4 linked regions of the Coturnix japonica genome follow. The protein of the gene in region 3 interacts with the protein of the main gene of each other region in a biochemical or structural test. Links are inferred from orthologs where the notes say so. Each region holds a gene or a part of one and is shown on either strand. Other genes may lie near its edges.

The links.
Region 1: the proteins of LEF1 (region 3) and MITF form a complex in vitro, tested with the Homo sapiens proteins (2 studies listed by BioGRID). The link is inferred for Coturnix japonica from reciprocal best matches to the Homo sapiens genes LEF1 and MITF.
Region 2: the proteins of LEF1 (region 3) and TLE1 form a complex in vitro, tested with the Homo sapiens proteins (2 studies listed by BioGRID and IntAct, with this or other methods). The link is inferred for Coturnix japonica from reciprocal best matches to the Homo sapiens genes LEF1 and TLE1.
Region 4: of the proteins of LEF1 (region 3) and NLK, one has a biochemical effect on the other in vitro, tested with the Homo sapiens proteins (4 studies listed by BioGRID). The link is inferred for Coturnix japonica from reciprocal best matches to the Homo sapiens genes LEF1 and NLK.

The regions. Positions count from the first base shown.
Region 1 is NC_029527.1:12,968,757-12,972,321, reverse strand, and holds part of MITF (microphthalmia-associated transcription factor), read right to left. Parts: intron 2,792-3,565; exon of another isoform or gene 2,727-2,791; coding exon of another isoform or gene 2,685-2,726; intron 1,633-2,684; coding exon 1,405-1,632; intron 269-1,404; coding exon 185-268; intron 1-184. UniProt on the Homo sapiens protein: Transcription factor that acts as a master regulator of melanocyte survival and differentiation as well as melanosome biogenesis.
Region 2 is NC_029547.1:35,490,829-35,495,137, reverse strand, and holds the start of TLE1 (transducin-like enhancer protein 1), read left to right. Parts: upstream 1-1,446; 5' UTR 1,447-2,433; coding exon 2,434-2,457; intron 2,458-2,681; coding exon 2,682-2,782; intron 2,783-4,044; coding exon 4,045-4,108; intron 4,109-4,200; coding exon 4,201-4,245; intron 4,246-4,309. UniProt on the Homo sapiens protein: Transcriptional corepressor that binds to a number of transcription factors. Inhibits NF-kappa-B-regulated gene expression. Inhibits the transcriptional activation mediated by FOXA2, and by CTNNB1 and TCF family members in Wnt signaling.
Region 3 is NC_029519.1:33,552,783-33,556,347, reverse strand, and holds part of LEF1 (lymphoid enhancer-binding factor 1), read right to left. Parts: intron 1,777-3,565; coding exon 1,644-1,776; intron 1-1,643. UniProt on the Homo sapiens protein: Transcription factor that binds DNA in a sequence-specific manner. Participates in the Wnt signaling pathway. Activates transcription of target genes in the presence of CTNNB1 and EP300.
Region 4 is NC_029534.1:8,031,325-8,034,889, reverse strand, and holds part of NLK (serine/threonine-protein kinase NLK), read right to left. Parts: intron 2,800-3,565; coding exon 2,590-2,799; intron 1,760-2,589; coding exon 1,658-1,759; intron 1-1,657. UniProt on the Homo sapiens protein: Serine/threonine-protein kinase that regulates a number of transcription factors with key roles in cell fate determination. Positive effector of the non-canonical Wnt signaling pathway, acting downstream of WNT5A, MAP3K7/TAK1 and HIPK2.

The sequences.
Region 1 (3,565 bases), on a different chromosome or scaffold from region 3:
CTTTTTCAGGTTGTTGATGCTAATATGTAAGGATTCAGCAGATTTATGATTTAAGAATGTTTTTTGTTGTTTTACATTCAACTTCTTAAGAACATTACTGGGCAAGTTTAGTGTTTATTATCACTTCAAATAAATATTCTCATCATAAAGTCTTCAGTGCTCCAAGTCCTGTGTCATCCAGTACCTGCATGCATGATGCTCGTGAGTGGGTATTCAGAGCCGGGCACTCACTCTCGACCCTGCTTTGCTCTTCAAATTTATAAAATCCCTGCAGAAATAAAAAGGAAAAAAAGAAGAAAAAAAAAAAAAAAGAAAAAAGAAAAAAGAAAAAAGCAAAGCATGGATCTGAGTTCATGGCACAGCCTCAGTCCCAAAAAGAGCACCATATTTCAATGTTGTCATGCACACATGGGCCTGATGACACAGTAAAGCAAAGCTGTAAATAACTTGAGGAAAAAATATATACGTATTTGGGTGCAACTGAGATGGAACTTGGATTTTCACCTCTTTTGAAGCTATGGAGCACAAGTACATTCTCTTGTATGCGTGAAAGCAATTTTGCAATCACTGTTTTTCTAAGCCGGATAATGCTTTCCTTTAGCGCAGAGTGCATCTGTATTAAAACTCTGGCATAAAGGCCAGAGGACAAGGGCAGCTCTACAGTTCTCTATGATTTGTCAAGATGCAAAGTTATTAACATGATTCGTGTAACTGCCGTTATCTTTCACGTAATCTTCCTTCCACACCTGAATGCATAAAACATGCATCTAAGTTTTCGCCAGCAAAGATTAAGATGGAAAATGACTTCTGTACATAGGCTAGAGAAGTCTCATATAAGCAGCATTGAGCACCAAAACAGCAAATTAGTAACATCTGATCTGACATGTTAGCTGAGATCATCTGGTATTCCAGCCACACAAGAGACTTGTTCAGGTTTTACTGCAAGAATTTCTAAAATCTTTTAAAATATTTCACACAGAGAAAAAAATATCTGATTTTTTCAGTTACTATTTGTTATGCTCTTTGTTCCCTTTATACTGAATGAGCCATAAATAACATTATTCCAGAAAGCTGCAGCTTACAAAACTGCTTTGTACTCTTCCAAAGGTCAATTATTCACTGTGTGCATTGAGCAAGTGAGAAGAAAAAGATTGAAGTTTTAATAAGCATAAACTGGGTAAAATAGTTCACAGAGGAGGAAGTTACAGACAGTTTTTGTGCCCAATTGTTGTATACAAATATATTCGTTAGGGAGACAGGGAAGTAGTAATTGCATTTTCAAGGGACACGGTTCAGAAAATACGCCAAACATAACTTAACGATGAGCAAACACAGTTTGAAACAGAAAGAAGGCAGAATGAGATTTCATTTCAATGAAGAATATACACAATGAGAGCATATTACCTCTTTCTCACAGTTGGAGTTGAGGGTGAGCATAGCCATTGGACTGTTGGGTGCACTGCTTCCAGTTCCAGGGGGCATGACATGATCACCGGGCTGGTTTGGACATGGCAAGCTCAGGGCTTGGTTGGCATGTTTATTTGCTAGAGTGGTAGAGAGGTACTGCTTTACCTGCTGCCGCTGGGCTTGCTGAATATGGTACTTGGTTGGATTCTCAAGGTGAGTCTGCACCTGTATGACAGGAGTTAAGAGAGCTTTATTGTTTTACAGCGTAATTGCATATAGAACCAAGCTGGGCTATATGTTTGTGACACACACCAGCCCAGGAGCATTTGACTCAAAGTACAAACCTGCGCTGTGCCGAGGAACTCAGCACTTTGCTAATTCACATTCAGTGGCAAAGAATGAGTTTATGAGATAATGTTTCAATAACTTTCTTAACGGTAAACCAACAAGTTCTCATTACTCTTCTACGTAACAAGATTTATCACTTAAAATCCATGCTTGGCCTCTCCAGTTTACGCAGATAGTCCAGAATGGCACTCCCCTGTTTAGACCTTCAGATATGTGATGCTTTATTTTTACACAAATATGGAAAAATAAGTAGCAGAGCAGAACTCGCTTTACTCATTGATAGCCACCAACTAAAACCAAATTTGATCAGTTCCCGTCTCTTACCAGACTGGTACTAAAGAAGAAATTACATTCTTTAGTTTACGTTACATTTTTTTAAATATCAAATGAATTATTTAGAAAAAAGAAGAATATGCCACCTTTTTGCCTCCAGATTAGTCATATCTCAGATACGTGGCCTAATCAAATCAAATAAGACATTCTGTTTAACAGCACATTAAACAAATACAGTGCAAGACAAGAAGTGTCACAGGCTGAATAAAGCGCAATATTTCATATATATTTGAAAACATATCCATCACACTGAACTACTCTCGTTCACCTTAAGTAAGCAAGAGAAGAAAGATCTTTTATTTTTCATGCAAAAATTTCACTGTATCTTGGAAACACTATCATGTATCTTGCATCATTAATGTCTGTATTGAAAGGTTGAGAAACTGAGATATAATAGTTCTCTGAAATGTTTTTTGTTTTGAAAAGTTCTATTAAAGCAACTTCTCTCGCCGTTACATCTGACCATGTACGTCCCCATTCATTTTTGTGGAAGAAATTATAATAAAGCATACTAGACATCAGAGGAAAGGGATTTCCTGTATATTTAAGCCTTCCTAGCAGCAGGTTTTAAAGTAAGTCTGCAAATAACAACTCACCTGATAATGATTATACTCAAGCATTTCCAGCATAATACTCATACAGTTGTGAGAGAAGTGACTGCAGTATCCTTTCCTTTATGCTACTCCAGTCAGAGACTCATGCATGGAAGCACCATGGAAAAAGCTGCCCCAAACCAGAAGCACTTGAATGCCACTGCCCAGACTTATAGTAACCTACGGTAATTAGCTACGCATGTAGAGAAACAAACAGTTCACAAGGGCTCTTCTTGGAGCCGTGCAAGTTTAGCCCTAAGTATTGGTATTTTTTCCCCTGGCTTTGACGTCATGCTTTTTCATAAACATAAAAGGACCTTTTAAGTGATGGGCTATCAAAGTCAGATTGACAGTTCGCTCAAGGCTAACTCGCAATTCATCTTTCGTTCCAGTCATACTAATAGACAATGGTATTTTTCTTTAGCGCTAAGGTTAAAAGTTTTTAAGTACAGAGTAGGAAACGACCGAATAAACCCCACAAGCCAACCACACACCCACCAGCCATGGGGTACACTGGGCAAAGCTACAGGGCTGCACTGCCCTGTTCTCAGCCTAGAGCCACGGCTGCCCATCACCCAGCTCCACAGAGGACCTGCAGCTCAGGAGGAGGATTTCAAGGTGCTGGGCCACTTCTTCAGCCTCCCTCAACCTCCACATTAACTCCAGCTTACCATACAGCTGGAAGAGGTTTCCCAGTTTAGGAACAGCTGACAACAGGCTAAGGCACAACCTGGATATACCTTCATCCACACTGCCCTGTTACTGCCCACAGTCATATAACATCCGAAGTTGGAAGGGACCCATAAGGACCACTGAAGGTCACCGAGTCCAGTGCCAGCACCTTCCAGCCCTTTCTTATCCTTTATACCCGACAGAAACGCTGT
Region 2 (4,309 bases), on a different chromosome or scaffold from region 3:
ACCATGGCAAAATACTGCCTTGAATCAAACACAGCTCTTTAGAACATGCTTGGTCTAATTTTGGCCTATCTTTCTCTGGCATTGTGTACTCCCATGAGTAAGGATGTTAGGTTTTCTGGAAATATTCCAGATTTACACTTATCTAACAAAAATTATTATTTTTTGTGCTTCCATCAGCTAATGATGCCAAAGTACAAATTAGTTAATTATCAGATAGTGTTGATTATTGTTGACAGTTGCCCACACTTGGAAGAAAAGGAAATAGTACCATTGGTACCAAACTCTTGCAGCTTTTTTGTCTTGTTTATGATGGAGAAGATTCAAAATGCTCCTAAATGACTGATTCTAGGATCGAAGGTGGTAAAACGCACTTGTTAAAAGAAATCAGGAAAATTGAGCTTTTCTTCTCTGTTATAACATGCCTTGGACATTTTAATGATGACAAATAAAGACTACAAGACATTTCAACTTCCATGGAGGTGGGCAATTATAAAGCAAAACAAAACAAAAACCCTTTTGTTTATGTTCCAAAGCACAGTGTTGTTTTAATATCATATCTGTTAATATCTCATTAACAACTTGTGCCAGCAAGTGAAGCACAGTACAACCAAAGTTAGGCAAGTGCTATGTTATTACAGACTCCAAAGCTGCTAGATACGCAAAGTATATAATAATGGCCTGCATATTTATGGTAGCTTTCATCTTAGGATCTGAGTACTTCATAAGTATTAATTAATTAAGCTTTCCAATGCCATGAGCAGAGTGGTGAACTGGCTTGTCCAAGGCAACAGGGGAAGAGCTGAGAAAAGAACTCAGGAGGAGGAGCTCCAATTATGCACGCGGAGCACCAAACAGGTTTATATTCCCACCTTCGGAAATACCACCTCACAGTAAAGGCATTTTCATTCTTTTCTGAAAAACAGTGAAGAACAGTCCTCGTGTACCTGTACGTATTTATGTATTCACAAATGTGCGTGCTTATGCACATAATCTAAACACACCCATGCACACACACTGGTGTCCACAGGCCCACGAGGCCAGCAGAACACGGGCAGGTGATGCAGAGCCCTGCTCCCAGAGCCCAGCAGCTTCAGTGGGTGTGCGGGTATTCAGTCTGAGGGCTCTGAGCAGTTCCACGTCCTTTTCCTTTGGCCATTCTGATACAGAACTGTGCACAGCGCAGCACTGCACGAGTTCCTACCCCGGTACCGCCTCAAGTCAGGTTTCCTAACTCCAAACTTCGTGTTCCTTACACAGCCCTAAGTACCAATGAGGGGCAACGCCACAGCGCGTACCCCAGCCACCCCGTATAGCGCTGGGAGACACCCTCCAGCCGCGCGACGCCTCACCAAACCCCTACTCCAGACCTCCGCACCGCCCCCTGCCCCTGGCGGACAGCAGGCCCGCTACGCCCTGCCTTCCTGCCCCCCGGCACCACCGACCCCATGCGCGCAGGCGCCGCGTGCTGGGCGAGAAGCAACCCCACCTCCCCGCCCGACCGGCCGGTAGCACCACGTTACTTTGAATGACAGCTCAGCCTCCCCGCTCCCCTTCCCACAGACCTTACTCTCCTCCCTGCACTCCACGCCCTCCCATTGGCTGGCAAGAAGGGCTCCCGCCGCTCCGCCAGAAACGCTTTCCAGCGAAAGGCTGACAGGCAGACGGAGCCGCGCTCGTTCCATTGGCCCTCGGCGCCGGACGCGTCACGCACCCACGTTGTTGCGGAGGCAGGCGACTGGCTACTACCGCCATCTCTCCCCCCTCGCTGAGGGCTGTGGGAGGGGTTGGGTGGCTGGTTAGCTGGAGGAGTGTGAAACCGCGTGTTAATGCATACGGTGCGGCGAGCACGGCGCGTCCCGCCCGGCCCGGCTGTTCCCGTCCCGCCGAGCGCATCCCGCGGGTCTGCAGCGCTCCGTTCCCCCGCGCGGAGCAGGGCACGGCACGGCCGCGCTCCTCGACAGGTCGGAACTTCACCTCGGTGGGGCAGCGCCAGGCAGTGGAGAGTGACGGCGAGGAGAAGGACGAGAATGGGGAGGAGATCGCGATGCACCGCGTGCTGCTGAGGCGCGGAGCCGCTCGGTGCCGGAGGCTGTCGCCCGCCTGACCCCGCGCGGAACGGGCGCTCTCCGCCCTTTGTTGTGGTGTCTCCGTCGCCGCGGGGCCGCCTCGCGCCCGCCCCCCGCGGAGCTCCGCTCCGGCTGCCCCATGCGCCGCCGGCGGTCGGGAGCAGCGAGGCCGCCCCCGGAGGCTTCCCGCCCGCCCCCCTCGCTGTGACGGCCGCGCCCGGAGCCCCCTAGAGAGCCGCTCGCCCTCACGACTTGCGTCGCCTGTCCCGTGTCACGGAGTTGCAGCGACAGAGCGGCCACAGCCGGAGGATGTCCCCGCGGCGGAAGCACTGAGCGCCGCGGGGCGGTGTGAGGCACGTTCGGAGCCATGTTCCCGCAGAGCCGGCACCCCGTGAGTACGGCGACGGGCAGAACCAGCCCTGCGTGCGGCGGTCACTTTCCGCCTCGATGCGCGGGGAGCGGCGGGGAAGAGCGTGGCCGCCCCGCGACGGGAGGAAAAGCGCTGGGGCCGGGGTCGCGGCAGGGACGGGGAGGGCGGCGGGATGGACCCTCGCTGCGTCCCGCCCCGTCCGCGCGGTCTGACCGTGCTTCTCTTTCCCGGTCCGTTCGTCGCAGGCGCCTCACCAGGCTGCGGGGCAGCCCTTCAAATTCACCATCCCGGAGTCGCTGGATCGCATCAAGGAGGAGTTCCAGTTCCTGCAGGCGCAGTACCACAGGTGAGCGGCGGTGGGGTCGCACCGGGGGCGCTCGGATCCGCTCTTCCCGCCTGGGGCTGCAGCGAGAGGCCGCGTCCAGGCGGTGGCGTGCGGGGCCAGGGCAGTGTGGGGCCCTCGGGCGGGAGCGCGGCTGGAGGCGGCCGGGCCGGGGTGTGGGGTGTGGGTGTTGCGGGAGGAGAATGTCGTGGCACGGAAGGCTGAGGAAGAGCCCTCCTCCGTTACGTGAGGTGTTCGTGCTAAGGTGAATCCGACGCCGGTGCGCAGTGCTAAAAGAGTCGAGAGGATGGCAGCTTTGTAGCGTAATGTTAGCGTCCATCTGCTGAAGCCGTGAAGGGCGCTCCGTTGCGCTGCGCTGCGTGGTGCTTTGGTGCTGGGAGTCCCGTACGGAACGGATTCCTGCGTGCAGAGGATGTTCGGCAATAAGAGGCACTTGTCTCTCGATTCTGTACTCCCTTGCACCTGAGCTGTCAGGATAGGAATAAAAGCTCTGTTAATTTCTGTACAGAAATTCATCCGACTGTGGCTGAGGCTCCTTTTTCTCACCACACCACTGTCTGATTCTCACTTGAGATTGCTGACTTGCCCGAGCCATTGGTTACTTAGAAATGCAGTATAAGCTGTGATCATTCAGTATTGCAGCTGTAAGTGAAAAAGGCTGCTTTCCACAGCATCTGTTCCATCGGATGCTTTCTGGTGGCCCTAAAGAAAACAAAGGGAATGTTGCTGCTTTTCTTTGCTCAGTCAGAGTCGTTAAAGTGATGCTGCTGCTTGTGATGAGACAGACAACTTTTCTGAAAACAGACTTGCTAGCAAATGGCGGTCAGAGTTACCGCTGTCCAGCTGCAGGCAAGATAACCCAAGCTGGAGGCGCCTTGAGGTTAGTAGGTAGGCCCAAGATGTAATTCTAACCACAAATGATGCTGTTTGGCTGTGACTCGGAATGTCACATGTGAAGAAATACTTCTGGCTGCTCAGAGGAACTCTGGGGGATGTCTGATCCTGTTGCAGCCCAACAGCCAATGTCCTTTGCCCTGTTTGTGTGGCTCTGGTGGCAGCTGCAGCTCTCAGTCAGCACCACAAAATACCTTCTGAATTTCCTTCTCAACTCTTGTGTTTGAAGTATGAATTAGACCTTTTTCTCTCTGTTTGCGTGTGAGTTATGAGGTTTTATAATTACTTGTTTTTGTCAAAATACAAATAAAGTGGGTAGATGTCAAAACAAATGACATAGTAGTTACACTGAAGTGTGATCTATTTTGTAGCCTTAAATTGGAATGTGAGAAACTGGCAAGTGAGAAGACAGAAATGCAGAGGCACTATGTGATGGTAAGTTTGCTTCTTTTTCTTTATTTCAGTTAATAGTTTATAATACAATGCAAGCCAATATAAAAAAAAATAATGTGTTCCTTTATTTGCAGTATTATGAAATGTCATATGGATTAAACATTGAAATGCACAAGCAGGTAAGGCATTTTGTTTTCTAAATCACAGAAGTCTGCAGTCAGTCTGCGTTTAAATGTAGCTGAT
Region 3 (3,565 bases):
GAGAAGATTTTACGTATCCCAGGATTTTTAACAGCAAATGCTCTTTCCAAGTGGTCAGAAAAAGAAGAAGCTCCCATCTTTGGTGACAGCTGATGCTCCTGAGGAGCAGTGACATGACCTTGCCCCTACCCAATCAAGCTGTGTGTAAAGAGCTGGGCTGCTGTTCCTTCCCCAAAATGCACATTTCTGACCCACAGTGAGGATGCTGTGCTCTCTGGTGTGGGGGACAAAACTTCAGGCCTCTTATGGAGAAACACCAGCTACCTGATGCCCAGGAGGAAAATGTGAAGCAGCCAACACTATCTGAAGCCACATTTGCTCTCAGGAGTGTTAAAAGTAAGAAAGACAAAAGGGAAGAATAAACTGCCTATGGAAAGGTGGTAGCCATGTGTCCATCAAGAGGTACCCATGGTGAGAGAGGTGATGCTGGGGGCGAGACGCTGTGGGACCCCCAGCAATGGGGCTGGGGCAGTGAGGCAGTGTCTTGCTCCAGCCCCACACTGGGAGGCGAGGACAGAAACAATGGTTGGAGGCATCTGGCAGAGGACCTGAGGGAAAATATTCCCTCAGCAGCAACAGCATGGACCACTTCACTGCGGCTGCTGTGACACACTGGTGGTGCTGGGATGGGAGCATGGGAAGACCACACACATCAAGAAGACCATCGCAGCAAAAAAAAAAAGGAAAAAGCAGAAGCCTCCGGCCTGCATTGTCCGTCGGCATCTTTGCCAGACGTTAAGAGGAGGAATCAAGAGCCTGTTTGGAAATATTAGAGCTCTACATGAGAGATGGGCTGGGCAGAGAGAGAGCAAAACAAGGCAGAAAAGGAGGACAGTCAGTAAGCACAAATGAGGCCTCCTGGTTGGGTCTGCAGGAGATGAGGAGGAAAATTATGCCCCATCGTTCAATAAGTCAAAACCTCCTGTGCTCACAAGCTGCAGCTGCAGGGTGCAAATCCCATAGTCTAACACACACAGCACCCACGAGGCTTCAAGGAACGACCACCAGTGTCCTCCTCCTGGGCACTCACACGAAGAAGGAAGACAAATAAGGACATGAGGTTTCCATTTGCTTCATCTTCTCTGAAAAAAGAATTATACATGCATCTGCAGGCTGGAGTAAAGGAAAATAACCACATGTCTATGGTATTTTCTGGAGGTAGCCCATGTTATTATCAGCATAGCAAGGCCAACACTAAAACAAGGCATCCAGGGAAAGTCAGAACTAAAACAGCCTCTCTTTGGGTGATGGTGGTTAGACTACAGTTATGCCAATTATTATAAAGAAGAACACAAAATCACAAAATGCAATTTTGATTTAAAAAAAGAAAAGGTTTTGATAAGAGCTGAACCAAAGTGCTTTTTCCCAGTTTTCGGGATAGTGAGGGATGACTGCTGTTTCTGTGTCTGCATGCTGCAAGCCTCAGGCACAACAGGGGGTGGTGAGGACTGGTTGCTGCTTATTGAGATTTTAAAAGGCTCTGACGAGTAAAACAAGCCAGAATTATCACATTAGGAAGAGCACAAAGATTTAAACAGCCAAGCAAAATACCAGCATCGTGGCAGAGCGGAAAGTGGGCACGCATGGTGGGAACCCTCCCTCTGAAACATGAAAAGCAAAGCCCCCCAGCAGCGTGGGCTCACCTTGCTTGGAGCTGACGTCGGAGGGGATGTGAGATGGATGGGAGCCTGGGGAAAAGTGCTCATCGCTGTAGGTGATAAGGGGGGTGAGGGGGTGAACTGCGTGAGAAGGCTGTACCACTGGCACCTTGTTGGACTGCAAGAGAAGGGAAAACAGCATTAGCGATGTGTGGCTTCCAAAATACAGTTTCTACATATTGGTACGACCGAAGCTAAGAGAGGTTGGCAGTGACGTTTCTGGAGAGGATATCTGGGAAGGAGACTGCTGACCACCCCGGGGACAGCTGCAAAGCTTTGCCACCTCACCCAGGGAGGGACCAAAGCGCTGAAAACACCCAGTGGGGCCCCGAAGGCGGGTATTGCCAGCCGATGTTCCCACAAACCACCCTCGTGAATCAAGCCCGCAAGGCAGTGGGGCTCCTCCATGCCAACGCGGTGCTTCTGCGGTAGTGCTGCATGAGACAAAAGTCGCTGTTCCCACAGCAGGATGAACCGCAGCGACGATCCCAGCACTGAGAGGCACTCCTCATTTCCATCCTGCCACCCTTCCCCTTGGCTAAAACAATTATGCCACAAACAGATTTTTAATAAAATAAAAAAAGAAGGGAAAGAAAAAGAAAAAAGGAAAAAAAAAAAAAAAGCAATAGGCCTTCAGAGAAAACCGCTGATAAATCTCAGTGAGGACAGCCTGTCAAGCACTGTGAATTAACAGAAGAGAAAAAAAAGAAAATCATTTAGGAACCCAATGAAATTAATTTTGAGTCTCACTATTCAAATCCTGGCACGAATAGACGTAGTGACAATGCTCCAACTCCACACCAAGGATTTCTCTGGACTTCTAAAACCAGGAGGGCTATTCAATGGACAGCTCAATTTATTGTTAAGGCTGGTAGGAGCAGACGAAGAAGGAGCAAATGGGAAGCAGCGCCGCATTTTCTGCTTTCCTTGTTTCCAGAGCACCACCTTAAGGAACTTGCATTAGCAGGCAGTATCTTCTTAATGTCTGACCTATCCCTCCAGTCATATAGCTCAGAATCTGGTGCCATGAATTTTTGCTAAATTATGCTATCCTTGCTCTCCTCTTAATTTTACGGTTTTCAACACAGATTTGCTTTCCTGTGGGAAAGAGATAAGAACCTGAGGATTTTAATTTAAGCTTTGGCCTTGTCTTATATTTTGCAAGATGGAGAGAGAAAGCGGCACTGGTAGGTGTTTTAAAGCCAACAAGCATTAGGTCTGTTTTTGCAACCAAATAATAAAAGCAATATGAATTCTCAATAATATGTAAGAGTTTGGTTGTAAAGGCGATAGCGTGGGCTGCTGTTCATCGTCCCAGTCTGTGTACATGCAACCAAAACAGACGCCAACAAATTTCAGCTGATTTACAGATCAGGCCTCAGTCTTTAGCTGTGAGACTCATGGGCCAGCCCACCATTCAGCAATTACTTTATCAACAACAAACTGTGCATTATGAATAACGATCAAGGAATAGATGTATTTAGGTCACACACACAGCTGCTAATCAGCATTAATTTCTCAAATTTTAGTAATTAACATTTTGTATTATATTGGCTGTAATCGTCACGCATGCCCATGCTATCAGGGTTGTTTGCTTTCAGCAGTCTCCTGTTTGTCCTCGCAGTAAGCCAATTCGGGCACCCCTCGCTCCACAGCACCCAGCAGATTTGGTTTTATTTTCTACTTCTTGGCACCTTATCCCCTAAGCCCGCGGCTGTGGTTTTCAACGGGTGAGGGAACCGTGAGAAGTGAGGAGAAAAGCAAACCGCTTGTCAGCGGGTTTAAAATTAACACAGAAAGGGGCTGCGTCTCCATCAGCAGCATTTGGGGTCTGCAGAGCCGGAGCTTGAGAAATAAAATAAAACAATGATAACAATGGGAGTGCTCTGGCCTGGGCCAGAAAGGCC
Region 4 (3,565 bases), on a different chromosome or scaffold from region 3:
GGGATGCATTTATATTTTCTCCATAGACACTCCATGAAGCAGTGCTGCTCAGAGGTAACAGTAGACACAGACTGCAGCTTACAGTTTAGCTCCTATAGATAGATTGGTGTATTGGCCATATCAGAAATACTTTATAGCATTTCACCTGCTTGCTTTTTGGCATTCCCATAATTCAATAGATAAAACAATGGTTTCAGTGGCTTGTAGAGAACAACTTCAGCACTGGGATTACAAAACATAAAATAAAACAAAAAAATTTCCTCTTCCCTTTTTAATTCCTAATAAAGCATTTAGGTTTAACAAACAGAACAAATCAATACTGGAGTTCTTGCCTGCCCTACCAAAGGCACAAGTACTGCACTGCAGGAATGCCAAGCAATTATCAAACCATCAGAATTTAAAAACAACATATTCCATAAAGCACCTGGATGCAGTTGTGCACTGCATTTGTACACTGCATTACACAGCTGTACACAAAGTGCATTGAAACAACTGAAATGTTGGGAGCACAAGACAAGAAGCTTAAAATATGCAATTCTTAGTGTGTGCTAATGAACACAATTAGACTTCATTTGTTTGAGAACTGGGAGAGAAAGTCTTAAGGAAATCCTCCTATTATTAACATTAAAAGAAAGAGCGCGTACCACAATGTAGGGAATCAAGGCTGCCTAGGAGGTACAACTCGCACGTTAATAATACAGCACAAGATATATTCAGTGCTCATTTCTATGGTAACTACCATTGTGGTGAGTTGACATTTGAGAAATTACTTCTATATGGAGAAAATAAATATGCAAACTCTACTGGAAAGACCTGATGTATTAACATGTACTGGTTACTCATCTTGTTCATTTTTTACTATCTAACAATCACAAAATTGGCTACACTGGGCGGGCATAATGCTTTACCACTGTTAGGGATTCCTGCTTAGGCATTTCTTTGCATCCGTACTTTACATTAGCTAATTTTGTTTTCCAGGTGGCATAATGGTATCATCTCATCTCATCTCTTTTCCCTGGTTTGGATTTTTATTAACTTTTACACCAGTTATGTTGAACATTGCACCTCAGCTTTCTGTGTCATCTTAAACCTTTCACAAACAGCTCAGGTCATTGCACGGCTGTCTGAGGGGACCTCTGCTGAGGATCTGCTTGACCATTCTGCTTACTGATCCTGATAATGGGCAGTTTCCTCTTCTAACACTCTCTATCCTGTCTGTAAAGTTGTCCCTCTGGGGCTTTCTGAACTGTATTGCCAATTTAATTTGTCTCTTCCCAACATTATCGCTTAAATTAACAACTTCATTCAGAATAGCTATCAAAACATCATCTCCTCAAAAACAGGAGCGATGTTCACCTGTATCGGCAATTCAAACAATATAAATGGGATTCATCAGAGATGCACTTGACAACAGAGAAAACATCTCATTTGCACAGGAGATTGAATAACTGCACTATTAACCAGAACCACCGTCAGTGAACTTAGTAACTCAGTTCACAAGCAGAGACAACTTTGAAATTAGATATCAAACAAAGTATTTATGAATGTCCGTGCTCCAGCCTGAGAATTCAACTGAGATGTGAAACACAGGAATGAGACAGCAGTAGTATCTACACAGAGGAAATGCTATGCCACGAAGGCCAAGTGCAGCCTGTACCTGTTTGTGAGGACCCCTGAGTATGTGTGCCTTGGCGCCTTCGCACGCTGTCCTCATTGCCTCCAGTGAGGGCGTTCCCAGCAGGTCTGTGATCAGATCCAGCTGCAGGTACAGAACATACACAATTGGGATTTCAGGTATATATTAATATGTTTCACTATGATAGCAGATTCTGGAGCTAAACTAACACGTGAACCAGTGCTTTCACTGTATTTTTGCAGAAGCGAATGTATATGTTCCTATTGTGAATGAAAACAAAAACATCCTGTAGGAGTCAAAGTTAAAAAGCAAACAACCAATAAATCCTGCCAGTAGAGAGCTCAGCTCCTTGGTTCCAAGGGTTCCCTCATGACCACCATCCACTCATGCTAACAAGCAATTGCCCAGCCCCCCTCTGAGACTAAACCCATTAAAGCCATTACCATCATTACACAGGCATGAAAATCACTCATTGACTGCTGGCATCAAAGTGAGAAATGTGATTACTGTCTGTACACCAAACGTGTTGCTACACTTGGTGGCTTCTCTCCATCTCAGCTCCACTCCCAGGCAGAAGCACTGCTCTGTGAGGCACCACCAGGTCCATCAGCCCCACAACTCAAATACAATACTGTTATACACTGATGGGAACGTTACTTTCTCTTATTCATAGTCAGAAAAATATTGATCCCATTTACATCACTTTAAAATGCCACAGTAAACGTTGGTACTGCAGCAGATTAAAGGGAATAAAAAAAAAAATCACAAATTTCAAAAGCTAATGACAATTATTACTACTTTTAACAACATCTGGAAACCATCGCTTCAGTGTTACAAAGAGTTTGGTTTCCTGCCCATGAGTAAACTAAGCAAAACAAAAGGAAGTTCAAGATTCAAAATGCATCGGTATAACTAACTCCATCAAACTGTTTTAGAGGGAAGTTTAATGATACCTGCTGAATGGGACTCTGTGCCTGAAACAATATTCTTCGCCCGAGCAGTTCTGCAAAGATGCAGCCTACAGACCAGATGTCAATAGCATTGCTGTAGTGGCGGCTGCCCATCAGGATTTCTGGAGCTCGATAATACTGAGTGACAACTTCCTGAGTCATGTGACGAGATTCATCTAATTCTTCCACCCTGGCCAATCCAAAATCACAAATCTAAATTGAGAAGGTAAATAAAAAAATTAAAATAACCAAAACACTTAATGCGCTTCAAATAGGCAGCCTGGTGGTAACGGAGCATGTCATTCCAAGCCAGCATTTAAATGAATCGGATAATCCATAACTGCACAAGCCAAGGGAAGAGGGAATAGGTAGAAGTTGTTACTTTGTTCCGTATCCATTTAAACTTCCCACCATTTTATTTGAAATCTCAGTATATTTTTAGTTGGCTTTGCAGGACTCAGTCTGAAAGCACACACACAAAAACAAGCACTCGAAGTAAACCCTGGGTTCAGAATATCCCAAGCTAGATCTCATTTGTTCATGGGATGCCTCCAAAACGTTGCAGATTCAGCCTTGTCGCACCCCAGTTCGGGGGATTTTTAAAAGTTTCCTTAACCAGAAGGGTTAAGAAAGCAGACTGACTTTTCCACAATTGGATCGCACAGCAAATCAGTGTATAGAAATCTGTCTTGGTATTCAGCATTGCTATACAGCACACCTGCATAATTCCACAGGCCTAAGAAGTCCCTGTGAGCACATGCACCGCCTCAGAGTGCCTGAGCCCTGGCTGCCAGCACAGCAGCAATTCTGACCCATGAGTCAGAAGGAGAACACAGATGTCTATGTGGGCACAGAAGGAACAATGTCCCAACATGGAACACCTTCGTTTCATTGATAATTTTTAAAGAATCTGTGCGACATTTTTCCCCCCCGTTTAAATTGACTTTACAGGAAAACTGAATATGAAATGCTTTCGCAA